Linked DNA regions of Alligator mississippiensis. The protein of the gene in region 3 interacts with the protein of the main gene of each other region in a biochemical or structural test. Links are inferred from orthologs where the notes say so. Each region holds a gene or a part of one and is shown on either strand. Other genes may lie near its edges. The genes, in order: CACYBP, CEP43 and S100A6.

Region 1 (10,190 bases), on a different chromosome or scaffold from region 3:
CAAGAGAAAAGGACAGGTAGGTTTCTTTCAGCCTTCTTCCACCAGCTCATGACCCGCTTTCCCTGAAGCAAGTACAGTATTCCACCATAGATAATGCTCTGCTGCAACTATCTTCAGATAGCTGGGGAAAGACACCATGCGGAGCATAAATGGAACAGAAGCAACAAGGTTAGGAATGCAATTATCAGCTAAGTTCTTTGGTTTCTCTGGTTCTTCTCAGAGAACCAGGGCAGCTCTGCCTGACTGAGCAGGAAAGGATGGAGAGGATCAGAGCTGGGTGGCTGGTTTGACTAGTCTACCTGGCTGCTTCAAAGACCCACTCCTGCAGTACCCTGTTAAACTGAGATTGCGTATTAGTGGCCCCCAGTTGTCCTTTCCCCAAGACTAGCATTTTGGGTACTCTGTTCCTTTTGCCTAAACTGCAGCTGAACTGCACATGTTCCCTCAATTCTTGTCAAGTACTGGGGAAGGGGTACTTATGGTTGGGCAGGTCAGAAAGCAGTAATTCCCTGCATTAATAGGGAGTAGAATTTGGGGGTGCTTAACTTTACCCACCCCATGCTTTGGCTACAGGTACAGTAAAAGCTCTGTTATCCTGCATCCCCTGGGAATGGGGGATGCTGGATAACAAAAATATGCCCGTTAATTGAGCGGCCCTGGCCACAGATTCTCCTGCCACGTCTGGGGCGTCCCTCCCGCAGCATCACCACCACTCCCGCAGGCCCTGAGGACCTGTGGGGCAGACCCCGCAGTCTGTTATGCCCCTGGGCTGTGGGGGCTCAGCAGTGCAAGCTGCTTTGCCCTGAGCCACGGAGGTCGGAGAAACCAAAAATGCCACGGCAGGCACTTCCAGTTTCACTTTATCTTACAAGCCGGCATGCCGGTTAGTATAGCATGCCGACTTGTAAGATACCGGTTAACAAAACGTTTACTGTAATTCAGGAGAGGATCTCAATGCTTCACAGGAGCAACCGCTGTGTAACATATCCTGCCCCCTCCTAAAGGGGTGGGCTTATTTTGCTTGGGGCTAGGAAGAGAGATGAGGAATTCCAGAAACTCTGTCCTCCCCTCTTCTAAACATCCCACATTTAAAACATCATGTTCCATACTGGGCAGTTATTACCCCTATATTTTAAAAGATGCAAACACACACAAACTGAGCACGACCTCCCTCTGTCACCTTCATGATTACACAATTATAACTCATTAACCACTGGTTGGCACTAACAGTGCCCTCAGCTCTGTTAAAACGTATTTTCTCAGCAGGAAGTTGGAAGTGCAAGCTTACCGTAATTGTTGATTTTCACAGTATATCCTCCAGCTGGTGGTTTCTCTTCCTCTACTGCATCACTTTTGGGCTTGGGTCCTGGCTGGTTCTTGATTTCTGTCTCTATCTTATGCTTTTCTGCCATCAGGACATCCTGAATTCTTTTTCTTGTGGCTTTGTTCAACAGCTCTTTAACCTCTTCCAAGTCTTTCTGCAGCTGGGTTTAAGAATAAAAGACCATATATGTGCACTGGATTACATGCTACTTCACCTGAGGCAAACTGTTGAGCCCCTTCACTCATTGAGTGTCCAAAAGAAATAAAGCGCCTGCATACCCAGCAGCCTCTAAAGCAGCTCTAAATATAAATTTAGGTTACCATGTGGACCTGAGTTTTGCTGAACTCACAAAAGCAGCTGGAGAATACAGACCTGCTACTAATACTTGGACTAGTTTCACTCCCTTATTCCCAGGGTAGCAGAACTGAGAGGTGGACTCATTTTAGGGGTGATATTTTTCTGTGTCCTTTAACAAAAAAAAATGAAAAGTATCTTGTTGAGTTAGCATTTTTGTCTAGCAAGACCTCATAAGGCCATATTTTAGTTTTTAGCTGAGCAATGCTTTATGTATGTTTTGCCTTTGCAAGTCCAATTACTCTGGCCTAAGAGAATCATATGTAATAACTTCAAGAAACTTGTCATGGCACAGCTGATCCGTTTCACTGGATGAAACAAATGTTGCCCCTTTTCCTGCCCTTGGTGGCGGACACAAGAGGCAATGTGATCAACACTTGATTGCTCAGCATTTGTGCTGCCATAAAAAATTTTATGGCAGTGCAAATGAGACATCAGGTGACATCTGTTTCCACCCTTTACAGCAGTGTTGTCCAGCTTCTATTGCTTGGTCCTAGTATTGCTTTATGTTAATTGTTTGCATGGTGGTAGACGCCTAAAACATCTGATAATCAAACTTCATACTGTTCTAGTTTATTTACCTATGTAATTCTAAATTAGCAATCTTGTTAATAAGTTAATAATAACTCTCTCTCTCTCAGGCCTTGACAAACATTGATCTCCTAGGTCTGGAAATCCAATTTCTGAAGTCAGGGAGCCCAAGCTCTCCTGCCTTCTAGAATTTTGTGTTTTTTCCCCCAAACACGTTGCACAAGAAAGACGGATACATAAACAATTGTTAAGCCAGATGCTCTGGAAAGTTTTCTCCCCCTTCTTGTTCACCATATTGGTCCCAGGCCAGTTCCTGAGGTATATTGTAACTTTATTATGCTAGTGGGTATTGCTCACCTTTGAATTCCACTTCTATGAAAAAAAAATATTGCAGAATTTTCCTTTTCCCACCAATTGGAAGAGAAATCTGCCTTGTGACAGTATCCATCTTTATTATTTTCCTCCTGAGAAAGCAACTTTGTTGATGACTTTGTGATTATTGGGGGGGGGGGTGTTCTACACAGGAGAACTTACACAGGGATGGATCTATGTTAGTATAATTATGCTGGTAAACATGCTCTAAGACAGGGTGTGAATGTTTTCTAAGTGTAAAAGTTAAGGCGTATGCTAGCACCAGATCACAAGAGTTAATAAAGCTAAGTAACATAGTACATTACATTAAGATTGGTGATGCACTCCACAGCTACACATTCAAACTTAACCTTACACATTAAAATGACCATGAAGTATATAACTCAGTTTCACATTTTTTTCTAGAACCTGACAGATAGAGGCAGGTAACTTGTTGGGTTTTTTTTTTTTTAATTTCCTACACGTGCCAGTTTCATAGTCAAGCCGCTCTGAACACCCTCTGACTTTGGTTTTTATCTCTGGGCTATTCGTTCCAAGGATGCCGGCCCTGATCTTGCTAGCAGAAGTAGCTGCCCAGAGCTCTCAGTAGTGGGATCACCGAGAGCGCCATCAGCACCATGCTCAGCACCACAGCTCTGCAGTCTTTTTGAAACCAGCAAAGTAGCCCCCAACATGAAATTCAGTGAGCAGTTGCCTCAGCCAGCCGTTTCCCACAGGCGTGACCTACACGGCCCCAGCAGCGAACACAGGAACGTGCAAGAACTGCCGCGTACTGGGTCAGCCCATGAGTTCATCCTGCCCAGTTTCCTGCGTCACACACAGACAGCATTTCACTGGGCAGCGCCCACCAACTCCTCAGACTCGTCCCTCCCCTCAGCGCACTAGTCTGACCAGCACCCCCATCCCTATTTTTGTTATTTGTCCCCAGTAATCAACTGTCACCTGTTTTGCAGCCTCCCGGGGTGGGGGAGGCCAATAGGTTAGTCGGGGCTCAGGCCCAGGTGACAGACGGCCAGTAGCCCTGGCGGTGCCCAGGGCTGTCCGGGCGCGCTCCGCTCCCCGCCCCGCCCCGCCCCCGTGACGGACTGACCTCGGCCCCGCGCCCGCCCCGCGCTGTTATGACTGGCCCGAGGGGCCAGCTGCCGCTTCCCCTGCGGCCGCCCTTTCTGGGCGCGGCTTATAGCTTCCGGCGGTGGCGGAGACCTTTCGCCCACGAAGTCCCAAGGGGCAAACAGCGCCACCCGGCACCGGTTCACGGGGCGGCGCCCGCTGGCTCCCCGAGGGCCATGGGACGCCGTGTCCCCCGCTGCCTCTCCGCCCCGCCCCGCCCCGCCCCGCCCCGCCGGCCAGACCCCCAGGCGCTGCTGCCACCGGCTCCCCGTGCCCGGCTCGCCACTCACCTCCTCCCGCGCCGACGCCATGTCTCGGAGTGGCGCGGCCCGGCTCGGCGCAGCACGCGCTGGCTCCGCCGGGGTACGGGAGCGAGGGAGGGGGCGCGCTCGCCGCACTGACTCAGCCGCACGGCTGCTCCGCCCTCGCTCCTCCCCTCCCCCCGCTCTGGAACTTTCCCGATAGCCCCGCCCCTTAGTTACACGCCCCTCGAGAACCCGGCGCGGACATGCCCCCTAGCGACGAGATCTACATAAGCCCCGCCCCGCCCCTCCGCCCGCGGCGCTCTACCGGAAGAACCATAGAGGTAGTAGCCGAGCTAGAAGGTCCTGGCGCAGGGGGCCACCAGCCCCTCTCACTCTAGGTGGGGTCCCGTAGGAGTGGGCGGGGCAACCGTGTTTCCGTGGAAACGGAGGGGCGGGCAGGCTGGGAGCCCTTGGGCGCGGCGCGCGGGGGGGCAGCGGTGGTGTCGGGCGCGGTAATTACCGTATTTGTGTGATCATGTTAACCCTTGCACGATATGCGATCCATAAAAGTGAACGTGTCCCAAATGTACACTGAAGCTTGAGGCAGCTCCTGGATGCAGCGCGGGCAAAACTCTCAGGGAGTCTTTGCTGACATTTGGGCTTGCTGTCAACACGACCTTATGACTGCATGCCTCCAAATAAAGGCTGCTGCTTCAATGACCCGGTTCTCACTCACTGGCATCAACACTGAACAATAGAAAGTAAATAAGACTTGTTTGCATATTTTTCAGTGTACAGTAGTTTTTCAGCAAATATGATAATTTTGAGGTTCGAATAGGATAACTTCATATTTAAGACCTGGCAACACTGGGGTGCTCAGGCAAGTTACTTCACCTGGTCGTGGGCTCAGACGGGCCCCACGGGACTGCTGGAGCGTGACCTGCTGCTGACCTGGGGTCCAGGGCCTGCTGGGCGTGGCCCTCGGCCTCGGCGTGGCCCTCGGCCTCAGCGTGCCAGCGAGGGCTGTGCTGGCGCTGCCCAGCCCGGTCCGGTCCAGACCTGCCCAGGGTCCAGGGGATTTTGGTGCCGCGGCCTTTAGACTATATTTACTTGACTACAAGATGGCCCTGCAATACTTAAATGCTGTATATGAAAAGCGTACAGAGTTGTATAGTTTTCTAGGTAAAGAATCTAAGTACTGGAGGGTTTCCTGAATCCCCTCCTCCCCACTGCTACATCAGCCTGAAGCAGTGGCTGGGGGCATCAGGAAGTGGTTGTGAGCAGGGCCTGTCACAGGGGGGCCAGGAGGGCCATTTGGCCCGGGCCTCTCATTCACGGAAGGCCTCAAATTTAGACTTTGGACGTTATCTCCAAATGAGGTTATACATACAGACACAGAAATACACTGACAGGATTGAAAGAAGAAGAAAAAAGCTAGAAAAGCAGTTGTTAAATAAAAAAGGAACATTTATTACAAATTACTGCATTGTATTTTGAGCCTCAAAAAATGTGGCCCGGGCCTCTCTTGACCTCTGAGAGGGCCTGATTGTGAGTCTGACTCTGGCCCTGATCCGGGCTCAAGGCCAGAGTTAGACCCACAGCTCCCCCTCTGCTTTGTATGTGAATATAAGGTTCAAGGCTTTTTTTCCCCCATGCTGATGGGGGCAGACCTCATCTTATATTTGTTTAAATACAGTAAGTGTTTGGGTATTGAGCTTTAGCCGGTCAATGCATTCCCAATCTGTACCCCGGCAGGAGCTGTTGGGGTACAATGGGAGCATAAGCATAAACTCTTTCAAATGTCTGCACTGTACCGCAAGGGGACGCTTCTGTTAGCCCTGAAAACTCTCAGAAGCCAATGGGATTAAATTGTGCCTGAGGATAGAAAGGAAACAAAGCACTGTCCATATAGGAAGGAAGGCACTTCTCTCTGTCACAACATGTTTATCCCGTGGGAGGGACCTGACCTGTTCCATATAACTATCAGTCTTCAGTTTATACTGCCTTAGCCCATGGCCAAGGGAAATTATTTAAATTGTCTGACAACTAACCCTTAAGCACACCTCGTAGGAAAAATATTTTAATCGACTCCAGGGCTAGAGGAGCTTGGACAGTGAAACTGTTTCAGCTGTGAAAAGAAAAACTGCCGCCCATCTAAACTAAGCACTTTCTCCATATAGAAGTTAAAAAGGAGTGGGGCCTGGATAGACATTGTTTGTGACAGGTGAACTGAACATCCTTATTTCTTTCTACCCTTTCCTGATCTTGGCCACTGTTTGACTATAGAGGGTTAAAAAAAAAAGTTGTCCAAAATCTATAGTAGTTCTTGCTAGTTAGTCCTGGAGACTATCTGATAGAGTAAAAAAAGCATTGCAGATCAAAGACCATATAATATTTTCCCCTCTTGAGCAGCTATTGCCTACAAATCAAATGAGAGGACAAAACAGTAGTAGCAGTACAGCCATTCCTGAAACTGGCTTTTTTGTTTGCGAGTATAGTTAACAATTCCTGTTATCTCCCTCAGAAATATTTAGGATAGATTTTAAAAGCCACATCTAAGATGCTAATTGGGCAATAAATCCCAGGATCACATTATCATTTCTCTGGACTTTTTATTAGTAAATCATTTTGCTAACACAATTAATTTTATCCTTACTTCCTGAAAGATGAAATAACATTATAAATGTCAGGAAAAGTTCTCTTTCCCCAGCATGCCTAGAGATAAGGACTTTGGTATTTACCTTAATCTCACCATAGTGTATTGCTACCAGCTTCCAAGTAAGAGACTATTTTTTCTCTGGTTCCAAAAGTTAAAATGCCTTCCAAAAGGTCTTATCACAGTATAGCATTTCTTATTCACTGTTTTTAAATATTCCTTTTTAGAATATCTACTGTCTTAATTGAATCAGGGGAGCCATTATATCAAAGAGTTCTTGGCATAATACAAAGCCATTTCTTACAACTGAAGGAACTAAAATTGTATATATTTTTTTATTCTTTAAAAGATCATAAATACCCCTTTTTAGTCTGGATTTTTTAAATTATCTTAATAAACAGCATGTAGATTTACTCTGGATCATCAAGGTACAAAATTGGTTCTTAAAAACCAACAGATTGCTGGATGCTCTGTTATTTTTTAGACTTAGCTAAAGGATTCCACTTAATTCACTTTGAGTTTTCAAAAATCCTGAATAAGACACAATCTCCCCAAATCCCTCCAGAATAAAGCTTCTGGAGAGTAGAAATGTACTTGCAGGGATTGGTGATTGCTGTCTGAGTAAAGACCACCAGTAAGAAATTAGAGAAACAATATTGCAATGGCCATATAATCAAGCACATTTCTCCCACTACAAAAAGAGATTGTAAAATGACCCTCACAATCATTGCAACCTCTGTACTTCAAGACCTCCAACAAGAATCCTTATAAAACTACACCTGATGCATTTCTCATGTTTGTACTTAGAATATATGGGAAAGAGTGGAGGTATCATCCCACTAACCAAGTTGAAGGAAGAATTAAACCACTTCAGATGGAAATTTTCTATACATAGATAAATGAGGAAGCTCTGTCCACAAAAATCATTATAGATAGTGGAGTTCCAAGGGAGAAATAAACAGGGCTAGTACAAAGGCTGCATGCAGAAAACTAATACTGTACTGTTGTAAGGAGAGGTTTGCCAGGTATTAATTTGCTTTAATTTAGTAGATTCAAGAATGGCCAGAACACTTGACAGTCTGACTGGTTTTACTCTGAATGCTACATTGAAAAGGGACTGAAAGCCTGACAAATAAAACACTAAGTCATTAGAAAGCTAAGTTTCTTGGGGGAATACCAGATCAAATTGAAATAACTAAATCCTAATGTCCAAATTCTGGGATTGACTTGTAAGGATGGCAGTGTTCCATAGAGCAGTTTAAATAGATTCTCGATCACACCAGACCCATCAATCCATATTCTTTTTTGAAGTCTTCAGTTGAATTGTCATAAAAAAAAACAATACCGTTAACTTTGTGATTAATCTTACCACTATCACCAACAATGCTTCCAAAAAATCCTTTGCATCAAATGTTCGTTGCACAAACGCCAGCATCACTGAAGCTAATGTTACCAGCATAGTCTCTGTGAGCCACAAGCACTGACTTCTCTGGAGGGGACATTGTATGCAGATGCCCAACTCTCAGCTTCCAAAACAAGTGCCCTATTCCTAGCTTAGTTGCAGCCTGAAATCTCACAGTTGCCAGAGAAAATGCTATAAGGACATAGAAGGCATCCCTCAAGAAAACAGACACCTACATCTGAACTAGGGACAGACATTCAAAAAACCTGAACCTGAATTGATTCAGTGTTTGCAAGTTAGTCTAACCTGCAGAGAGTGAACTGGTTTGTAAACGGATAGACATCCAGCACATGCCTGCAGTGAGTCAAGCCAGAAGCCCGGGGTGCTAGAGCAGTTGAATTCCACAGGGAGGGTGAGCGGAGGAGGGGGCATGGCCAGGCCCTGGCAGGCCGGCTGCAGTGGCCCCCTGACAGCCAGGAGCAATCTGGGCGCACAGCACTGCCCAGTCCCAGAGAGGAACTCGTCCCCCTTCTCCCTCTCCCCGCTGCCCACTGAGGGCCAGGAGGGGGACCCTGTTCGGTGCTGGGGGGGCTCTTCTCCCTTCTCCTCTCCCCCCCCTATGGTGGGGTGGGGAGGGGTGCTCTGTGAGACTGCCTGACCCCAGTGGGGACTCTTCCCCCTGCTTCTCCCCCATTGCTGGGGGGGCTAAATGGGAGGCTGCCCAACCCCAGAGGGGGACTCTTCCTGTCACTCCTTCCCCCTCCAGGGCAGGGGAGGCTCTGTTCCATGTTGGGGGACTCTTCCCCCTCCTCCTGGCAGAGGGGCAGCAGGAGCCCGGAGCTCAACTGGGCAGGGTGTGTAGCTGGCCAGAGCCTGTAGCTCCAGCCCTGGCAGTGAGGGAAGGAAGCCCCGCACTGGAGCCTGCCATCTCCCTGCTCCCGGCTGCGCAGTCCCCGCACTGCAAGGAGTGGAAGGAGCCCTGCACTGCGAGGAGTGGAAGGAGCCCTGCACTGCAAGGAGTGGAGGGAGCCCTGCTCCCGCTTCCCCACAGAGTCCAGTGCGGGGCTTCCTTGCTGTGATCGTGGCGCTGCAGGGGCCCAACGCGGAGCCCGGGGGACAGAGGCAGGCAGCGCCGCACTGGGGCAAGGAGCACAGCCCCGCAGCCCGCCCGGCTGCTTCCATGCCCTGGCCCGGGCTCCGCTGCGCACCTACAGCAAGCGCCACAGGTGCAGCGGGGAAGCCCCGCGCTGGACAGCAGGCTCCAGTGTGAGGCTTCCCCCGCTGCCAGGGCTGGAGTTAGAGGCGCAGGGAGCACAGCCTCGGGGATAAGGTAGGCTCCACTCCCCGCTCTGCGCCTGCATCAGGCACGCGCCTGCCAGGCAGCGGGGGCTGCACGCTATGGGGGGGGAGTGTGTGCGGGTCCCTACACTCTGCACCCCACCCCCTGCCCAGCTGAGCTCCGCGCTCCCGCTGCCCCTGTGGAGGCAGAAGAGGGGGAAGAGTGACCCCCAGCACGGGACATTCCCTCCCCCGCCAGCTCCAGGGGCCGCCGCTGCAGCCCCCGCCCCAGCAGACAGCTGAGCCCAGCTGCGTGAGGGGAAAGGAAAAGGGGGGCAGGATTAACTCCCTCCCTGCCCACTTTGCATTAGCGGGGTCACACCTGCCAGTGCCTCCACTAGGGCTGTCCCTGCTCTGGCTACAGAACAGAGGAGCGGGGCCAGCTGTGCTGTGGAGCAGAGTCGCACCCAGCTCAGAGAGCATGCTGGGATGCTGGGGGTACCTGGTTTATCTTAAACCAGCAAGGGGGCTGGGACAGATGTTGCATACACCGGTTTGAGCCAAATCAGTTAAGTCTGATACTACATTCAACCAGGTTTATCTCAAACTGGTTTTGGCTATTTTGCAACTTGTTTATGTGCACTGAATGTCTGTTCTGTTACAGGTTTAAATTCGTTTCTGATCACTTAAATCGGTTTGTGTGTAATATATCTGTCCTTAGCTCAAGAGTTTGGGAGGAGCTAGCTGCTAACTGACTCCAATGAAGCCATAACCTCAACCAAGCAGCAGTCTGCTTCTGAGGGTGGATCTGACTCAAGGATTAGACTCTCAAATCACCTCAAGATCAGTCAGCCATGATAGAGATCATAGATCATACTCAAATCAAGGAGTTGCTGCTGCCACTGACCATAATTGATC
Region 2 (9,644 bases), on a different chromosome or scaffold from region 3:
TTCCACTCTAGGCAAGCCTTTATTTTGAATGCTTATATTTCACTTTCCCTTGTCTTTCATTCAGTGTTTACATACCCTTCAAATATTTTGTTCTACACATTTCTGGCTAAGAAATTCACCCCTTTAAAAAGTCCTCATCTAGTTAAATGGCTCAATAGCTAGCAGGTAGATTTAATGAGTTAAGCAACAGCAACAGTTGCTGTTGAAGTTATCCCAAAGTTTATATTTGACCAGAGGTGAAAAAGCTTTTTAAGAAATGGATATTGATTTGTACGATTAAAAGTCATTTTAGTGTGTAGTGCATTTGATTTTCTTTGGCACCCAAGTGGAAGTGGAAGAAATCTAAGCTTAGGTATCATTATTTAAAAACAAATGTATGGGGGGGGGGAGGGGGGAATTAAGTCTTTCTATACAGTTATTCCAGTTCAAAGTGAGCTGTCATTCTGAAGTTGCTTCTGTGACAACAGATGAAATAGGTTGATGACTGTATCCTGGCACGTAAAATACACTCACTATGACAGATGACTGGCAGTTTTAAAAGACTGTACTTCAGCATTTAAAAAGATGTGTACTGCAACAAATGGAAGGAAGCTATAAAAGCAAAATCAGATCTTAAAATTTCCTAAATTTGTAAAATCTTTAAAAGAGCTCTGAAAGTGTTGTTTTAAAAAGTCTTCTTTAAAATTAATACAGCTTTATTACTTTTTAATTTGCTCCTGGGATCCAGATGTCAACTTCCCAATAAGTTTCCTACACATTCTTTTTTTTAGATTGAATTAATGCAACTGACTTTTCAGAGATCCTGTTAAGTTTTATACCATCACAGGAAAGGCTTGCTCCATCACTGTTAGAGCTAAAAGGGGTAGCCAGTACTAGAAACTCCTCGTCATTAGTGATACTTCCAACCAATTAAATCAGAGTAAAATGATCTTGAAAGAAGCTCCATCCCATCAGAGACACACTCCTACATCCAGTACTAGTGGGAGAACATTCAGGATCATTGTGTATGCAAAGAACTTACTTTTAAAAAGGACCATGCTTACCAAATCTAAACAGCAGTCAGTTTACAGGCCATTTTTGAATGCTGACTAATACTATTCTCATGGATAATATTTCTGTTAATAATTCAGTTCAGTTGACAAAGAAATAGAAAATGTATCAACTGGAAGTGGACAACATATTGATTTACATGTAGGTAAGTATGCTGCCAACTACCAAATTAAGGTTTTACCCCAATTCTGCTGTGCTCAAAGACAAGTAAAATATATTGAGCAGTGTTCAGCAGTTATTAACTGGTTTAAAAAGCAATTGAAACTTTGCATGTTCTGGTTCAATAATCTATAGCTATGCTGGGTACTTTGGCACAAAAAAAACTAGTTTCCAAACCACTAATGATTATTACCACCTCATTTAGTCTATGGTAGGACTAAGATTTCACTTAATCACCACAAGTCACTGTAGCAGACCAGCAATGACCCCAAGTGCCCTGTATTTCCCTCAGCTGCATTACTGGAGGCCTGTTACGGGTCCTACCTACTGCTCTTTGTTCTATTTTTCAGTCCTTCCATATTTTTCTTCTTGACAATTTCACATTGTCTACTTTAGCTAGATCACACCTATATCCAGATAATCTTCTTACGTATTTATTCTTATCAACCTCTAAACAACACTAAACAGATATCCTTCTAGGACTTGCTTCCTAGTTTTTACCTTCACCAGTTCCTAGAAACTAGTTTGCATTTCATCTGGCAGTACATAAACAACAACTGTCAAAGCATAACTTTCTCTCTCAACTTTGGCACCATAATAAAAGCTATTAATATGTACTAAAACTACAGAAAATAATATAATGAGCATCACTGTTTGACATTTGGCAGGAAAGAAAAGTATTCTTTCTCCTTATACCCATTAAGCCAGCTTCCATTTCAAGTTTGGGTTTTAAGTGACCGGGTTGCTTTTGAACAGTTCTTAAAAACAAAGGTTTACCAAAATCTGTCAGAGACCAAGAGAAGCAATATTGCTTCACCAGAACTACCAAAAGATTGAGCTTACTCCCAATTCAGATTATGGTTACTGGTTAGCTGGCCACTGAAAAGCTGTACGTCAATTGATTGGGAGCAAGAAAACTATGGGCAGAAGTTACCTCCCACTGTCAAAGGCAGGATATGCACAAAGTGGGTTGATCTAATAAAAGATATCAAATTCACCCAAGGAACCTTGTCTGGATATGCACAAAGGCATTTGGTCTGCTGCAGCATGACAAATCAATCTCATGTTCTCATGAAGTAGGTGCAGGAGGCCTTGCAAGTACAAGAAATAATTCAGGCAGTAGTATACACTATATATTTCTATGAAAGTTTCATTAATTTGTGGTCAGCCAAGGAATCCTTAATTGTGCTGTATTGGTTATAGCAAGTTTTCCGTGTTGAAGCACATTGCACATTTGAATTAAGCACAAGGAAAGAAAGCACAGGAAACCCAATAGAGGCAGCAGCCGGACTTCAGTAACTTCACTATAATCAATATTACTTATATAGGATCTACAAACTGTGCTTTTCACCTACCAATATGATGCAAGAAATGAAGCTGAGGACGCAACTGTTATGTGAAGTGGTAGAGGCAGCAAAGCATCAACAGGTGACTTCTGCTTAGCAGCATGGCACACAGCACAGCCTGCCACTGCTCTTCCAAACCAACAACTCCCCCTTGTTCCAACATGCTTGTCAACTTGAGCTTTTGCTAGCTGTCCACCTTCCTCCAAATCAGCAGCTCTCAACACACTTCAGGCCTCCCCCTCCCCCATCAGAAAAACACCACTTGTTCTGACTGCAGAGAAATGACAGGGCAGTTCTTGCACCACAGGGAACCCACAACAGGGCAGGACATTTTTACCAGGGGTGGGGGGAGGAAGCCTCTGGATTCACCCTGTGCCTTGTGCTGGCAGGGCTGTCCCAGCAGACCTGGTGGCACCCCGGGGAGGGGAAGAGATCACAGCTCTGAATAAATCCCCTCACTGACAACTCAGCCCCAGCTCATTTGGCGATGCAAGGTCCCGAGCTGGGCTGCAGAACAGCTCTTTGTCAGTGTTGCCAAGTGTATAATAATTATCGTATCTGTACAATTACAACCCATGTACAATGTAGGATCAATAACAGTAAGTGTTCAAAGTGTATGATAATTGTTGAGGCAGCTCACTGATGCAGCGTATACAAAACCCAGGTAACATTCAGGGTTTCTTAACTGACTTATGAGGTTTTGGTTTTTTTGTTTAATTTTCTGTAGTCCAAGCCAAATTAGTCAAAACAAATTCCAAATCTGAGAATTAGTCCAGAACCGTAAGTTGCCTTACTACTACCAAGCATCCTGCAACCCCATCTGGGGCTTCAGATGTTTCCAAAAATCTTTAGTGGGCATCCTACTTATTCGGATCCCCCTGAGTTTTGCTTGCCCTCAGCCGTAAAGCCCCTGGGGCAAGCCAGGGAGAAGTCTCCCATTTCCATAAAGCAGGCTTAAAGCCAAGACCTTCCTACTCCAGCAGCTAAGTGGGAGGTTTTGGGTCTACGTTAAGCACGTTATGACTGCTCACCTCAAAATAAGGAAACACCTAAATTTTGATGACCCAGTGCTCGGTGGCTCACAACAAACAACATAAAGTCAATAAGAAAGTGGCTTATCTGCATACTTACTTGCATTTGTTTTTCAGCACATGATAGTTTCTCCGCAAATGCGAGAATCGTGACCTTCCAAGACCATAATTTCCTATTTAAGACCTGGCAACGCTGCTCTCTGGGTCGGGCTAGAAAGGGACGGCTCGGATTTGGGGCTAACTCAGCGCGACCCTTCCCAACCCGCCCCTACTAGACGCCTCTCCGGTTGTGCCAGGACCGGGGCCCCCGCAGCCCCCTGCGCGGACCGGGCGGTCGCAGGCCCGGGCTGAGCCGCGCCGGTGCCGCTGGGCCAGGCTCTGTTCCCGCCGCGAGACCCGTCGGCTCCATGCCCCCCGCCGCGCACCTTGATCTTGTTGAGCACCCCGCTGCTCTCCAGCGTCTGCACCAGCAGGTCCCGCAGCTCCGTGTCCTCCTCCGCCGCCGCCATCTTGTTTCTCCCTGACAACCGCCCAAACCGCGCTAGCGGCCGCGTCGGCCCCGCACATTCGCTACGGGCCAGGGAGGCGGGGGACTGCAGGGGCAGCCGCGGTTGCGGATCGTAAAGCTGGCGGCCCGGCTACCGCATGGCCCAGCCGCCTGAAGAGGAGGATGAGCCCCACCGCAGGGACCGGACGGGACTGAAAGTGTAGATGCGAATGCGCAGCGCTAGCTTGACGCCATGAGGCGGGAGGTTTGAAGACAGGGGGCGGGGCTGGCTGCGAGGTCCCGCCCCCTAGAACTTGCCGCGTGACGCGCGCTCCTAACCATCCAGCAGTTAGCCAGAGCTTCAGTTACAGAGCGCAGAACGGGAGGGGAAGGGAGGACGCTGAGCCACGCCCCCCGTCCAGCCCCAGCCAATCGCTCCCAGCTGGGGGCGGAGCGGGATTACGTATGTCAGGCAGTTCATTGGTAGTGATGTTGCCAGGCGGACTGTCATTATCATCGTTATCAGAGTTTCAACGCGCTCAGGTAGGCTGGTTAATAGTAAAAGTGTACAAACTAGAGGTCTTGGCTCCAAAATGATACCTTTTATTAGACCAACTGGAAAATGGCAAGAAAATTGTCCTTTTCCCCCTGAAAAATGTACGATAATTTTTGAGGCAGCTCACTGATGCAGCAAATGCAAAACCCAAATCACTCTCCAGGAGTCTTGACCGACTTTTGGGTTTGCTCTTTTTTGGGGGGGGTGGAAATCTACATCTATATATGGATATATCTATATCGTATAGCTATATTGATATAGAGATATATACATAGCTATATATATTTATATCATAGCTATATTGACATAAATATATATAGATATATATACATCATCTAGCATAAAACTTTCCATCACACACTTTAAACCACATTAAGAAGCAGTGTACCCATCACAACAAATGATCCTGTACCCCCCCGCACCCAAGGCCGGGCCAAGGGTAATTGTGCACCTCAGTGCCCCCCCACTTCCAATATAGAGGAAAATAAGAAGTCTAAAATGAACTTTTACCTCTGAGATCTTTTCAGAGGGCTTTATCCCCTTACCGAGCCACAGGTCTTAGACCAAGGTGGAGCTGTAGCTAGCCAGAGCTGCTATTTAGAATGATGTTCCTGTTATTTTGTTCTGGATATATTTTGGTGCTCCCTCAAATTTTGGTACCCTAGGTGACCGCCTAGTTTGCCTAATGGTTGGACCAGCTCTGCCCACACCCACCCGCTGCCCTTCCCTAACCCAATCGCAGTCCTGTAGTCCAAGCCCCGATTTAGGTTTACATTCTCAGTCATTCCCTATCCTTGTCTCTGTTGATATCACTGTCACTGCTGCTGCTGAACCTGTTGCTGTCTTCCTCACTGTCCTGGGGTCCAGTTGTGTCATTGTCCTTTTCTTTCTGTCCTCTTCCCTTCCCAGGGGGGTCTTTGAACAGGTTGTGCCAAGCATCTCTTTTCCAGGTGGAGTTAGCTGTGTCTTCTCCATCCTCTCCCACTGTTTTCTGGTAGTAGGACTGATGTTTGCTCAGAAACATTTTAACACAGTCTGTTTCGGTGTGTCTGTACTTTGCTGCAGGACACAAACTGGTTGAAACGGGTTGTCGAGGGCCCCTGCTGTTCAGACAGATGTACAGTGCTGCCTCATTTTTGGGTTTGCTCTCTGCACTTTCTTATGATGCTTGCCTCAAAATAAAGCAATGCTTCAAGTTCGCACTCAGTCACTGGCAAGTTACAGTGAACAATATAAAGTAAACAAGAAGACTGATTTGCATCCTTATTTACGTATTTTTCAGTGTACGGTAGTTTTTCAGCAAATAAGATAATTTTGAGCTTCCAATAGGATAATTTTATACTTAAGACCTGGCAAGGCTAAGTTAATGGCTGAACCCTGCCTTAACTAGAAACAAGCACAAGACAAAGTGATGCTTGCGCCATTCACTGGTTAGTGGAGACCAGCTAGGCTGTAATTGCCACCTGATAAAAATGATTTTCCAGCTAGAAAAAAGAGCCAAGTGGCTCTACACTTTGTGCCTAAAAAATGGGTCGCAGCTGTACAGCTGGTTTCTGTCCAGCCTTGCTTTGAAGGCACAGCAGGGCGCTGCAGCCTTGAGTTGGCAGAGGAAAAGCACTGGGCCTTCCCACTGGGGAAAAAGGGTGGTTTATCTGTGGGTGAAGTGACACGCTACCCTTGGGGCCTCTTTACACATGCAGGTTTAGGCCCTATGGACTCTAATGAGACACCTTATGAGGCACACAGGGAGGGCAGTGTTGTCTCCGCTGTGAGCCCTGCAGCTGAGGAGGCTCACGGCAAGGACAGTGCCAGGAATGCTGCCACCACTGACTGCGAGCCTTGGTAGCAGGTGGTGCACCCCTGTGGCTGGGAGCCCCTTGGTTGATGGGGCTCCCAGACACAGGGGCTACATGGTCAATTAATGGTCTGATTAGAACAAGATATAAAGTTATTACACATTTTTTAGCTTGTTTATTGCTTGTTTTATCACACCATTAATTGAAAACGTGTAGCTGGGTTGCATCTTAAGACATGATTAAGTGATTAATCATGCCTGAAGTATAACGTGTAGAGGAGGCCTTAGACCAGGGGTGAGCAAAATGGCAGATCTTGCCAGCAGCCAGACTCTATTTCCCAGCAGCCCCTACCCATGTCACTGCAGCTGTTTTCCATGGAGACCCTAGTAGAGGGGGCACCTTGGCAGTGCCCAGCCAGGGTTTCCATGGAGCCCAGCCCCAGCAGTGCTGGAAGGGCATGCAGCTGGGTGGGGAGCTGCTCTGGGGCTGGGGCTGAGATTTTGCAGTGCTGACTGTGTGGTCTGGAGCTCAGCACTGTCTGCACACTCCAGCCCGAAGCGTGTGGGCAGTGGATTGCAGCTCTGCCCCAGCTCTGGACCACACTGTCACCACTGCAAGATCCCAGCCCCAAAGCAGCTCCCCACCCAGCTGCACACTCTGCCAGCACTAGTGGGTCCAGTCTCCATGGAAACCCTGGCGCTGCACGGTCACTGTGCCGCAGCTCCTAGGGTCTCCATGGAGACCGGGCACAGCGATGCAGGCAGGGGCTGCTGGGAAATGGAGTCCACTGCTGGAACAGTCCAGCCCAAAGGCTGGATTTTGCCCACTCCTGTCTTAGACTGTGCTACATTTGTGGGACGTGAAATAATGCTAAAGTTAGAAAGCTGCGAGCAGCTGCATGTTAAGGGTTAATACTGTTTCCTGCCTGTACAGCTCTGACTTTGTGGCTACAGGGCTGGTGAGCAGGGATGTGGCTACCCCATCAGGGCTCTATCCCTGCTCTAGGTAGGTGGGGGTGCTGGAAGTGGTACATTTGGGGATGATAGAGGACTGCAAATTGTTCGTATTATCTCAGCAGAGCAGGCTGAAGTTACCCTAGGTAGTGTGGTCCAGAGTTAATGCCTGAAGTGGCATCACTTTGAGATGCTCAGAGGACACTTAGCATGAGTTAATGAGCTTTAATGTGTAGACTCATGTTTTAAGTGTCCTTAATATGGTCGAAATCAGGGGCTGGCAACATTTTTGGGCAGAGTGCCAAAAATATACAACCTCCATTTGTAAAATGTTGGAGTGCCAGGGGTGGGTGGCAGGGGAGCTGTGAGGGGCCCAATCCTTGTTTGGCAGCACAGGCCTGGCCACTTCCCTGCTGTCTGCCCTGAGCTGCATGTGCCAAGCAAAATGCCTTCACGTGCCACACTTTGGCATCCATGCCAAGGGTTGCTTATGCCTGCTCTAAGTTTAATCTGCAACTTCACTCTGTGACACCTCCTCTTCCCCTGCACTGCTTTGTCCAGCGTGGCAGGTAGGGCTACTGGCTAGAAGGGTGCCTTGGGGTTGGTTGCTTTTATGTACGTATTTATTTGGCACCAAAATGAAACAGACTTTCACAAAGTTTCTAAAAGTGTCATGTTTTGGAGTCTGGCTGAGAGATGGGGGAGACAGGTGTTAAAAAAAATCACTATCACACCTTAAAAGTTTCTCTCTGTTTTGACTGCTGTGCTGCTGCCACTCCCCTTCCCTCCACTAGGTGGGGAAGCTGCAGAGCTTGGGGGCAGGGAGCACATGCCAAACAATGGGAAGCCCAATAGTCAAAGCTGAACGTGAACAATACTTAACAAATGCCATCAGACCAAATCCTGTTCTCCTTAATTAGAGGGGCCATGATTTCTTAGGATGGTATCTTTTATTGGACCAACTGCATAGTTGGGATAGAGTTGGCAAGCTTAGATAGAGTTAAACTTGAATAGAGTTAGACCTTTGGATGGAGTTAGACAGGGTTTGAATTACACTTAGACTTTGTTTAGCGGGGGGGGGGGGGGGGGGTCTGCAGTGGTGGCAGCTGGAAGGAGCCGCCACCGCCTCTGCCACCTGGGCTGCTTAGAAAGGCGCAGGGCTAGCCAAGGGCTGACTGGTGGTTCTTGCTTCTTATTGTGGTGGGAGGTTCCTCATCTCTTATGAGGGGACTCAGCCGCCCCTTCCTGCCCAAGCTACCCCATAATACGAACTCTGGAGTTAGACTAGAAGAAGAATGTCTTGCAGTCAAATGCTTGTCTAACTCTATCCCAACTATGCAGTTGGTCCAATAAAAGATATCACACTTAGAAGTCATTGCCTTTCATATAATTCCTGGACCATCCGCTACAACTTCACTCTAACACTCCTTAATTGGCAAAGTAATTACAAGATTACTTGTGTGTTGTGGGCAACGCTAATGGAGGACAGCTGTTAGGATGCTATCCAACACCCTTGGAAGTTATACTAAGCACACATGCAGCAAAAGGAGGGGGGCGATGACTTAAGTTCTGGATACAGTTTTAGTCAATATTTGCAGCTGTTTCAAAAAGAGAGAGAGAGACAGACAAGGGTTACTCTAAAAATGTTCATGTTTGTCAAAAATATTCCTAAAAAAAGATAGGGAACTGAGTGGTTTCGATGAAATTATGCCTGGAACATTTAGTTGTTTTGTAGATGACCAAAACTGTTTTATCTATCTTATGAGCTTTATGCAGATTGATTAGTTAATAGTTGCATGTTGTCTTGAAAACAGAAAGCATTATAAAAGCATTAACTGTAAATGCAACTGACATTTAAATACCGTTCAGGACATGATGCATATTTTCAGTATATCGTTTTAAAGATATCTTTGGATCTCCTTTGCACTGAAAAGTATAGGAATGCAGGGAGAATCCTCCTAGGAAAGTCAAGAGGTGAATCCTCCTAGGAATAAAGATTCAGTGTTTTAAGCATAATATACAGATATGCTACACTAATATATATGTATTGATGATGAACGCATATTGTCTCTAGAGACATGCAGAAGGTGGCACCAGTTAGCTGTTACAAGTTTTCATTGACAGAATTCAAGAATAAGAATACTTTAAAAATGAAACTGGGAAATGAGACTTTGAAAACATTGTCACTGTGTTGATATTTATCCCTTTCTTGCCTGCTATTGCTTGATGAGTCAGCCCACAGCAAGAACCATGCAGAGAATACAGA
Region 3 (10,099 bases):
TGTTCTCCTAAAAGACCCCCAGCTCCTCTGCTTCTGGGTCCCCTGGTCCATCACCCTGCGGCGAGCTGGAAAGGGAATTGCTAGGCTTGAGATACTGCAGGGAGCATGTCTCTGGACCTTGCACCCCAGTCCCTGCCCCAGCCAACCAGCAAAGCCAGAACCAAGGGTGCCTTGTACCCCCATACTGCCCGCAGAACAGGCATACACATGGCTTCCACCACTGGGCAGGTTGGTCTCGGTGCCTCAGTACTCCCTGGTCCAGTTATGGCTCTTGTCTGAGCACCATGGGTTGGCCAGCACCTTGGCTGAGCCTGGTCCCCATCCTACTGGCTCCCCATGAGCTGACCTGGTGCGTTGCCCCTCTGGACCCGTCGTCTCCAATTCCATACTGAGTTGCTTTCCTGTCATGCCAGACACCGGGACCCCTCTGTGCCCGGTGCTGGACCAGCCCAGGACCATGCAAAAGGTAAGACACAAGACCCAAAGCAGGCCCAAACAGAACAGTAATGCCCAAGGGGCGCACATGTGTCAGGGCCAACTCACTGCCACTGCCAATGTATTGCATGCCCAACAGACATCAAGTTACAGGCAGCAATGCAAAACAGAACAGAGAGGGAAAGAGAGAGAGGGATGGAGTGCGGGAGTGAGGGAGGGATGAGCTGCTCTGCCCCCAGGTTCATTGCACTGCACCGTGCCCTGGAGGCAGCCGTGGCCAGAGCTCCCCAGGCCACAAGCGCCCTCAGAAACCAGAGCATCTGCTATCAACCCTGGGATCTTACACCGGCATCATGGTCCAGCCTGGGAAACGCCGTGGCTTCTCAGGACCATGGTCACCAGATCCGGGATGATGTGGGCAGTTGGCCAGAGCCCGGCGTAGTGTGAGCCTCCTGCAGAGCCGCAGCTGTTGCTCATCACCCCCCTACTCCCCCAGCTGCTACAACATAGGGGCAGAGATGCAGAGGGCATCAGGGCGGCCAGGGCACCCTCTAGCCCAGCCCAGCCCAGCCCTACCCCCATACTGCAGCCCCAGCAGTCTCAGGCATGCCCCCTTGCATTGCCAGGTCTCGGCCCTCCAGCCTCCTATGTGTGCTCAGTGCCAGAACAGTGAGGGGCTGAGGTGAGCTGAGCCCCTCGGCCCCAGGATGACATGCATCTGTCCAGGCCCCAGGGACATCAGGCTGTAGGGACCTGAGCCCGAGCTGCCTCCAGCAGTGCTGGCAACTGGGGCTCTGTGTGCATTGACCCTGGGCCCCCATGCATTGACCCTGCTCCATGTGCGCTGACCCTGCCACAGCCCCCGCAAATCATCCCCATGTCCCAGCATGCGGCACGGCCCCCCTCAATGCCCCATCCTGTCTACTTCAGCCATGCCATGCCCAGCAGATTCCCAGCGGGCACTTGCTCTTGGAAGGCAACAGAACGGAGACGGAGCCCAGGGCAAGGCGTTACAAAAAAGCATTTATTTTCCAGCTTGGTGCCCAGGGCAGGCCCCTCCAGGTTGCCCCATCCCCAGCTATGGCTAGCACTTGTGCTTGGCCAGCTCTTCATGGTAGATCATGGCCAGGGCTGCCAAGAAGGTGACGTACTCCTGGAAGTTCACCTCCTGGTCCTTGTTGCGATCCAGGTCGGCCATGAGCTTGGTGACGTCAGCATCCTTCAGTTTCTGGAGCAGGGAGGAAGCATTAGGTGTGTTAACGTGTTCAGCGTGTGACCCTCGACAGGCATCGGCTGGCCTCACCCTCCAAAATGCAGAACCTGGTGAGCGCTGCTAAGGGGCTCACACCCCCTTTAAAAGGATAGGGCCCTCATTGCTATACTCTGCATGGGAGCAGCTGAGAAGCTGGGCTTCAAAAGAAACCCAAAACATCCAACCCAGGCTCCCCACCATGCCCCTGCAGAGTATAGGAATGAGGGGACTCTCCCTTTAAAGGGTGTGTGAGCTCTCTTGCCCAAAAAGCTTGCAAAGAACTTTTTTCCAACTATTTAGTTGGTCTAATAAAAAATATCACATCTACCCGAAGAACCTTGCCTGCCTGAGCCCTCTGGCGGCACTCACTGGGTTCTGCACTGGAGCAGGGCTGTGCACGTCCTAGGGTTGCTAAGCCAGGCCGTTAGTCACCACGCGGATTCTTTGCATTGCTGTCCTCTGCATCATGAATAGGTGTGGCAGCCCGCCGCCAAATGGGGAGTGGGCCCACTGTTCTGGCCTTGCACCCTCATGCACACATTCAGACAGGTATGCACATACATGCATGCACACAGTTGCACACACAACTTCCTGAGCCAGACACTGATAACCCCGGGGGGAGCCTCTGCTGGGTAGATTCTCCAGCTGGGCCATGAGCTAGGGGCAGTTGGGACACTACCAAATCCCCAAATCCTACTGCCCCCCACATCCCCAAGGGTGTGATGCCAAGCTGTTGGCTGGAGCCTTGGGAAAGCAGGGTTCCTTCCCAGCTCTGCTACTGACTTCCTAGGTGACCTTGGGCAAGTCCCCTCGCCACCCTCCCGTCTCTGCCCTCCTCCAGGCCAGGGCCATCTGCGCTTAGCACCAGGGGGGCTGATCTGGGCCCAGGTGACTGGGCCTCTGCAGGTGCCAGGCTTTGGCCTCTGGGATGCTACCAAACTCTGCTGCCCCCAGCCCCACTCACCGGGCCAAGGCTGAGCTCCTTCTGGATGAGTTCCTTCAGCTCCTGCTTGCTCAGTGTGTCCTTATTGCCTTCCTTCCCTGAGTACTTGTGGAAGACATACACCAAGGCCCCGATGGCCTGGTCCAGGGTGCACGACATGGTTGCGGGGTGGATCTGGGTGGGGGCAGAGATGCCTGTGAGCTGCAGCAGGGGCCGGGGGGGCTGGAGATGGGACGGAGCAAGGACAGGGAGACCGCACGGGTGCCCATGGCTCTCTGGCCTGGCTGATCCAGGGATATCCAGGGTCTGCTGTGCAACCTTGATGCTCCCAGGAAAAGCGGGGTGGGGGCTCCAAGACACCCTGGGGATGGGCACGGGGAAAGGACAGGAGAGAAGGGGTAGGGCCTGGCTCTGAGCAGAGATCCAGGGAGTGCCACATGGATCCCAAACCGGGGCACCCTGACTGGCCGCAGGCCTTTGCGGACCGCAGGAAAGGGAGCGAAGCAGGGTGGAGGCACTGGGGAGCGGGAAAGGCAGACCCGCCGCTCACCCCCCTGGTTGCTCTCAGGCTTAGTGGGGCCCAGGCATGAAGCACAGGGCAGGGTGGGGACCAAGCCCTGAACCCTGTAGCTCCACATTGAGAGACAGCCGGAGCCAGTGCCTTCTCGCCCACTGCCACAGGGTGTCAGCCGAGACCTACTGGGACAGCTGCCAGCTTGGCTGTTGTGCAAGAAGCCACACCCCACACCGGGGCATAGCAGTCCCCCCACATCGCCCAGGCCCCCCCCAGGTTTTTGGGACCCTGCTGCCCCCAGAAGCACCGTCTGTGCCTGGGAAACCCAGGTACAAAGCTCCCACAGGTATTGGGGACTACTAGGGGACCCTGCAAACCCAGCTGGAGAGAGCTGGGGGGAGGACGGGGTCCTTTGGGGCAGGAGCAATGGGGTCAGAGGTAGAGGAAGGGAGTCCTGGCCTCTCTGTCCAGATATGGTCCCTGGAGCCAGCTCCAGAACTGCTGCCAGGGAGGGAGTGGGGCAGGGGCACAACTGGAAGAGAGTGCAGCCACAGCTGGCGGGGCAATGGCAGCACTCTGGAGGAAAGGGAAAGCGCCAACTTACCAAATGAACCGGAGAGAAGCGAGGAGAGGAGAGCAGAGGAGAGCGTGGGATGAGGCTCCAGGCAGCAGGCAGCCTTTATAGATCGGGCTGGGTGCCCCCCACACACACACCTCCCAGGACGCTGGGGAAGCCCTGCCCCTCTGCACAAGCCCTGCCCCTACTGCCCCGGACACTACCCAGCACCATGGACCCTGCCCCACCGCACCCAGCCCCCCACCACACACCGGCCCCGTGCCAACTGGGCTCTGGGGCAGGGCAGAGGTGGGTCCCCATGGTGACACCCTTCCCAGGCCACAAGCTAGTGCTGCCACAGAGCCCCTGCCCCACCTGTAGCAGCAGGGCCCCAGGAGTCTTTGCAGGGGCTGTCTCACTTGCCCCCCCATGCATCCTCTCATGTGGGGCAGGGGCATCACCCCCTGCTCTATCTGCCCCTCCCCTGCACGGGGGTTTCCTCTGTGTCCCTCCCCATGGCTCGGAGCCAGAACCAGGCTGGAAAGGAACCAGAGTGGAAAAAACAACCTCAGGCGAGCAGCAGGCGGAAAGCTCTTTATTGAAGGCAGCTGCGCTGCAGCCCAGGCCAAGGGACCTGGGCGTGGGGGGCTCTGCTACTTGCCATCCTGCTGGAAGAAGTCGTTGTAAGCCATGCACAGGGCAGACAAGAAAGCCGAGTACTCCTTGAAGTCGATCTCGTCATCGCTGTTCTTGTCCAGAGTCTTCATCAGCTCGTCAATGTTGTGCTCCTTCATTTTCTGCAGAGCGGGGCCCAGCCGATCACACGCAGCCCCTGGGCTTGTGCCAGGGACAGGGAAACCCGGGGGGGGGGGGGGTATGGTGGGTATAGCAGGGAGGACTTCACCCTGCAGCGTTGGAAGGCCCCGATCCCGGACAGAGAGGGGCACACCCGCTGCAGCCCCTCACCCAGCTCTCACCTGGCCCAGCCCCAGCTCATTCTTCACCAGTGCCTTCAGCTCCCCCCGGCTCAAGGTGAACTTGTCACCCTCTTTCCCCGAGTACTTGTGGAAGGTGAGGACCAGGGTGGCCAGGGCTTTCTCCAGGGGGGTCTCCATGCCACCTGCAAGGGAGAAGGGGACGCGGGGAGCAGAAGCGCGACACCGGGGTGAAGACCCTTGGGGCTGCTCAGCTCAGGAAGAGCAGCAGGATGCGGGTTGTGGGGAATAAAGCCTAGAGAGACCCAGGGACATGGCCAAGGTCATTGAGGGGGCAGTGGCAGGGCAGGGGATTGAGCTCAGCTCCTGGCCTTCCACCCAATCTCTAGACAGCAGTAGAGGTTTCGCAGGGCCAGGCCCCCCACCCCCTCCAGCACGGCCATTGTGTGTGCAGCCCCTTGCACCACAGCCTTTGGCCTCGGTGGGTGCTTACAGCAACGGGCACCAGATCTCCTGGCCCAGCTCATCAAAGCCCAGGCCCATGCCCCTGAAATCCACCACGTGGGTCCTTCACCGTTAGCAACGTGGTGAGCAAACAGCAGATGCCCACAAACTGCTGGGCAGGGTGTGGCTCCACTGCCCTGGGGCACCTGACTCATTCACACCCGGACCAGGCGGGTCCTATTGAGGAGGCCTTTCAAAGAGGCTTAGGAGGGATTAGGTGCCTTTTTGCACCTGGGCTTCTCCGGTAACAGCCTTTGCCCCAGCTCAGTGGGACAAAAGAACGGGGGCTCACCTCCCCCCCCCCCCCGCCCTGCAAGGCTGGGGACACAGGAAAGAAGCCTCCAGGGTGCAGGGGGAGGTGGAATTAACCTCATGCCCGAGGCCCAGGCACCACTGGGCGCTGGGGACTCTGAATAGGTGGGGGGGTAGGAAAGGCACAGCTGCCCCATCTGCCCAGGACCCCCTGGGTCATGCGGTTACCATCCTGCTGGACCAGCAGCCCCATGCAGAAGCATTAGAGTCAGCAGCTGCTGCACGTCTGGAGAAGGCAGGACAGAGAAGTCCCCAAGCCAGCCTATCCCCCCATCTCACCAGCCCAGCTGATGGCATCGAACCCCCCAACCTACCAAAGAGGAGATCACGGGTGCAGAGAGTCCAGGGCAGGGCAGGCAGCTCCTCTTATACCCTCCTGGCTCAGGCACCAATGGAAAGTGGATGCAGTTGCCAGGATCCTGGCTCCCCAGGGTCACCGCCTGCCCATGCTTGTGGGGTGCAGTCAGGGCACGGCCTTGGAGCCAGATGGCCCCTGCACCCACTGCCCGGGGTGGCCTGGGGTTACCCCTCAGCTCACAGCTCCCCCAAAGCAAATCCAGAGCAGAATCTGGCCCCATGCAGAGGGGATGGGAGGGAAGGGGGCAGCTGGAGCATGATGTAGAGGATGTTCCCAAGGACATTGCTGTCTCCATGGCAGTGCCAGCTCCTGGCACCAGGGATTTCAGCAAGCAGGATGCTCCAGAGGGGCAGAGCCCTGTTGCTTAGCAATGCCCAGCTGGGGAGATGCAGAGCCGGAGGCAGGGGGTGGACAGCAAGGGCCCAGGACAGGTGCCCGGCAAGAGCCAAGGGTTTGCTGTGGGGGGCTGCTGGGACTGTCCAAGCCCCGTCATGCAGCAGCCATGGCTCCATCCGGTGGAGTTGGACCACAGGCACTGCTGCCTCTCTGTGGGTGACCCCAGGGCCACACAGCCAGCTGCCCTGGAGTGCTGTGGCCCAGCCCCTCACCCTGGTCTTGGGACCCCATGGTCACTGAGCTGTGGGGAAGGGGCTGCAGCAGGCTCTGGCTCTGCAATAAACTCACCCAGGTAGGAAAGGACTTATGGGGTCACCTGCCAAGATGGATCCCCCTGGAGCGGGGTAGAGCCTAGGAGGAGCTCCCCTTGCTGCCAGCAGTTGAGGGCTGCTATCCTGGAGTTGGAAGGAGCAAAGCCCCCGACCCCGGTTTGCTGCACTTTTCCCTGCGCCTGGATCAGACCCCTGCTCTTTTGGGCAAAGCTGGCAGAAACCCTTGAAGACCCCACAGGGAACTTTACCCACCCCTACGACTCCATGTGCAACACAGTCCGGGAACCAGTTACACAGTCGAAGACACACACGGGACTCTGGAAGTGACTTTATTGCACGGGCTCTCAACGGGCTCTCGAGGCAGTGGTGAGCAATGCAGCGGGGGTCCCAGGAGGAACCCACGCAGGACAGCCCAGGCCCAGGGCAATCACTTCCTCCGTGGCATCTTGTCGGGGCAGCCCTCAAAGATGTCGTTGCACATCATGGCAGCGCAGGCCAGGAAGGTGGCATACTCCTGGAAGTCCACCTCGTTGTCGCGGTTGCTATCCAGGTTGCTCAGCATCTTCTGGAAGCTGGCATCATCCGTCTTTTTCTGCCAGGGGGAAGGAGGTGGGAGCAGGGTTCAGCCTAGCCCAGAAATGCTCTGCACCCCTCCTGCAGCTCAGGGCATCACCCACCTCCCTCCACCCCATCATCCGCGTGTACCCGCCCCAGGCAGAACTGTTTGGGACAGGACGTGGGCACCTCCTGCCCCCCTCCCCTCTTCAAAGGGGCAGAATAGATTTATCTGAGAATAAATCCCAGAGCAGGAACCGAGCCCCCTCTGCAAGAGGCCACTGGACCCCTTCACAGGGGCAGACAGGTCTCCTGTGCCCAGGTCCCAGCACCGCCCCCAGTGCCTGGGGGTCCCAGTCCCCCCACTCACACTGATGAAGCTGGGCAGCTCCTTCAGCATCAGGTCCTTGAGCTCTGCCTTGTTGAGCTTCAACTTGTCGCCTTCCTTCCCCGAGTACTTGTGGAAGGTGGAGACAATCACTTGCAGTGCCTGCTCCAAGGGATGCGCCATGGCAGATCTGGGAGCTAGAGACGTGGGGAGGGGGCTGCTTAGAGCACGGCCCGAAGCACAGAGCTCCCTACCAAGCTGGGACCAGCTGGCCCAGGGGTTAAGGGTGCAGGGACGGAAGCAGATTTGAATATATTTGAGTGCCTTTGCATAGGAGGAGCACAGGCAAGGTACCCGGGTCCTGTCTTTTGTGGTGTGCCCAGCTCTCCCAGCATCCCCACCAAGCCCTCCGGTCACAGACCCTTCACCCAGGCCCATGGGACAAGTGCTAAGTGCCTATAGCCTGGCCCTGCCCAGCATCCCCAGAGGGAGGGCCCCCACCTGCTAATTGCACCAAGGCAGGAGGATGTGTCACTGTTTCCTGCCTGCTCCCAAGCCTCCCCTGAGGTCATGTTGGCAGCGCAGATGGGCGTTGGTAGCCAGCGCCAACTGCAATGACAGCCCAGGGGCTGGAGGCTTAGCAGGAGCACAGCTGGAGGGACCGAGCGATGACAGCCTGAGGGCTGGGGGCTTAGCAGAAGAATGGCTGTGGGGGGCAAGCAATGACAGCCTGGGGGCTGGGAGCATAATGGGAATACAACGGGGGGCACAAGTACTGCAGACCCCAGCCAGGCTGCTGCATAAGCCCAGACTCCAGAGGAGGCATCACCCTTTGCGTGGGTCCGGGGAGGCCCTTTGCAGCCCTGGCTGTGTCAGAGCAGAGCCCCAGACCTCCACTAACCCCAAAACTGCCTGGATGCAGAGGGCAGCTCTGAGACCCAGGCTAAGTGGGGAACCCGTGGCCGCCTTCACCACCCCAGCTCAGGATCATGTACATCTGCTGCAGCAAAGGCAGCGCCCCCTTCTCCCAAACCGCAGGGCTGGCTGTGTCCCCAGCCCCCCATGCACAAACCACCAGCAGCTGGAGCAGCTGAAGCCCCAAGCATCTCAATAAAACAAACCACTTACCAAGGCAGCGAGGCAGGAAATAGGCTGACAGATGCTGGCCGGACAAGCGGCTGAGCAAAAACCCTCAGTATTTATAGTCAGCGTACATGACTGGGGACACCCCCTCCGGCTCTGGAAATTAAAGCAAGGCCAATGAGCGGAGGAGCACCCAAACGTCCTGGCAGGCATTGGCTACAAGGGGCTGGGGAGCCCTGGGCCCCATGTCCTGCCCTCCCCTCAGGCCCAATTTTGGGCAGAGAAGAATGGGCGGATGCAGCCACTGCCCCGGTGGGTGCAAGGGGCACCGACTGGCACCGGGCCATGGGGTGTATCTGCAGGGGAGGGAGTGGAACAGCCTGGACAAGAGCAGGAAACAAAATGAGGGACGAACTGGGGGAGTCAGAGCTTAATGAGTCTTTGCAATCCCTGGTGGGAGAGAGGAGGGGGGGGCGGGGGGGATGAGCATGGGGTGGATGAACACATGCATGGACATGGGACAAGGCAGCGTGGGATGGCTGCTCAGGTGAGTCAATGGCCATCATCTGAGATCTCCCTTACCCCTCTCTGTCTAAAGCACCCCAAATTGGATAAACCTGCCATGTGTCCAGGTGGCTCCAGTCCACAGCCATACTCCTGCCTGCCCCCCCCCCTCCCCCCACACTTTGCCCCGAGATGCTTCAGGGAGAAAGGGCCCAGGAAGCATGAAACAGTGACAAGGGCTTCATCAAGCCAAGGCATCTATTCACGCGTCACCTACCCTGGTCACGCAGGGGAGGAAACCCTAGGACAGCTCAATCACAGCTGCATAGGAAATGCCTGCCCTACCCGGCACGGCCTGATCATGGACACGCATTTGCTCCGAGGGTTAATCCCAGCGAGCATGAAGCGATGGGAAGCATCCGCAGCTCCATGACGCACAGTGCCCGAGCTGCTGTTTCGGAGTGTTTTTCATTTTTTTTAACTGAAATTGGAGGCAGCTGCCTTGCGTTTCATAATGGTGGGAGGGCGGTGCCGCTGAGTTGTGTAACCAGATGCTGGTCTGGCCTGGGCTGTATTCTTCCACTAAGTGTCATAGGCCCCACGGTCCCGGTCACGTGCCAGAGCATCCCCCTGAGCTGGGTGGACCAGGCCAGTGGGGTTGGAGCAGGGGATACAGGCTTGATGCCCTGCCAAAGCCTGGGAAGGTCACATCCCTGCAGCAGGGAAGTCCCCACAGCAAGCCACACGGGGACCACCAAGTCTTGCCCACCCAGGCTTGTCTTTGCCATTAGCCCCATAGGCAGGTCTCTGGGGTCAAACCCTGATGGTGTCCACACTGGCCCAGCATGACCTTAATCTGCATCCTCCTTCCTGCAATGTGGCCAGCTCAGAGCATAGGTGCAAGCCAGGATGAGGCGAAGTTGCAATGCTTGGAGATGCCCCGGGTGGATCAGAGGCCACAGGGCAAACTGCAGGCATGAAAGCAAAGCTGCTGCAACCTGGAGGCATCTCCCAGCACCCCAGCATCCTTGGAGCCTGGGTCAAGGCAAACTCCAGAGCCAGGGGCAGGCAGGATCTCCCAGGAGACAGGGCTGGGAATGGGCCCAGAGCTGTACCAGCTCTGCAAGGCTAGCAGGGAAAGAGTTGGCTCCA

Evidence for each region.
Region 1: the proteins of S100A6 (region 3) and CACYBP are reported together in a solved structure, tested with the Homo sapiens proteins (2 studies listed by BioGRID and IntAct, with this or other methods). The link is inferred for Alligator mississippiensis from reciprocal best matches to the Homo sapiens genes S100A6 and CACYBP.
Region 2: the proteins of S100A6 (region 3) and CEP43 form a complex in vitro, tested with the Homo sapiens proteins (2 studies listed by BioGRID and IntAct, with this or other methods). The link is inferred for Alligator mississippiensis from reciprocal best matches to the Homo sapiens genes S100A6 and CEP43.

Annotation. Positions count from the first base shown.
Region 1 is NC_081828.1:48,613,219-48,623,408, reverse strand, and holds the start of CACYBP (calcyclin-binding protein), read right to left. Parts: upstream 4,099-10,190; 5' UTR 4,003-4,098; coding exon 3,982-4,002; intron 1,485-3,981; coding exon 1,289-1,484; intron 1-1,288. UniProt on the Homo sapiens protein: May be involved in calcium-dependent ubiquitination and subsequent proteasomal degradation of target proteins. Probably serves as a molecular bridge in ubiquitin E3 complexes. Participates in the ubiquitin-mediated degradation of beta-catenin (CTNNB1).
Region 2 is NC_081824.1:144,062,968-144,072,611, reverse strand, and holds the start of CEP43 (centrosomal protein 43), read right to left. Parts: upstream 4,371-9,644; 5' UTR 4,096-4,370; coding exon 4,012-4,095; intron 1-4,011. UniProt on the Homo sapiens protein: Required for anchoring microtubules to the centrosomes. Required for ciliation.
Region 3 is NC_081838.1:13,256,731-13,266,829, reverse strand, and holds S100A6 (protein S100-A6), read right to left. Parts: upstream 3,850-10,099; 5' UTR 3,749-3,849; intron 2,805-3,748; 5' UTR 2,790-2,804; coding exon 2,652-2,789; intron 1,664-2,651; coding exon 1,520-1,663; 3' UTR 1,439-1,519; downstream 1-1,438. Other genes in the region: S100A5 (protein S100-A5), read right to left, coding at 4,354-4,497, 4,678-4,815; S100A4 (protein S100-A4), read right to left, coding at 6,905-7,069, 7,403-7,543. UniProt on the Homo sapiens protein: May function as calcium sensor and modulator, contributing to cellular calcium signaling.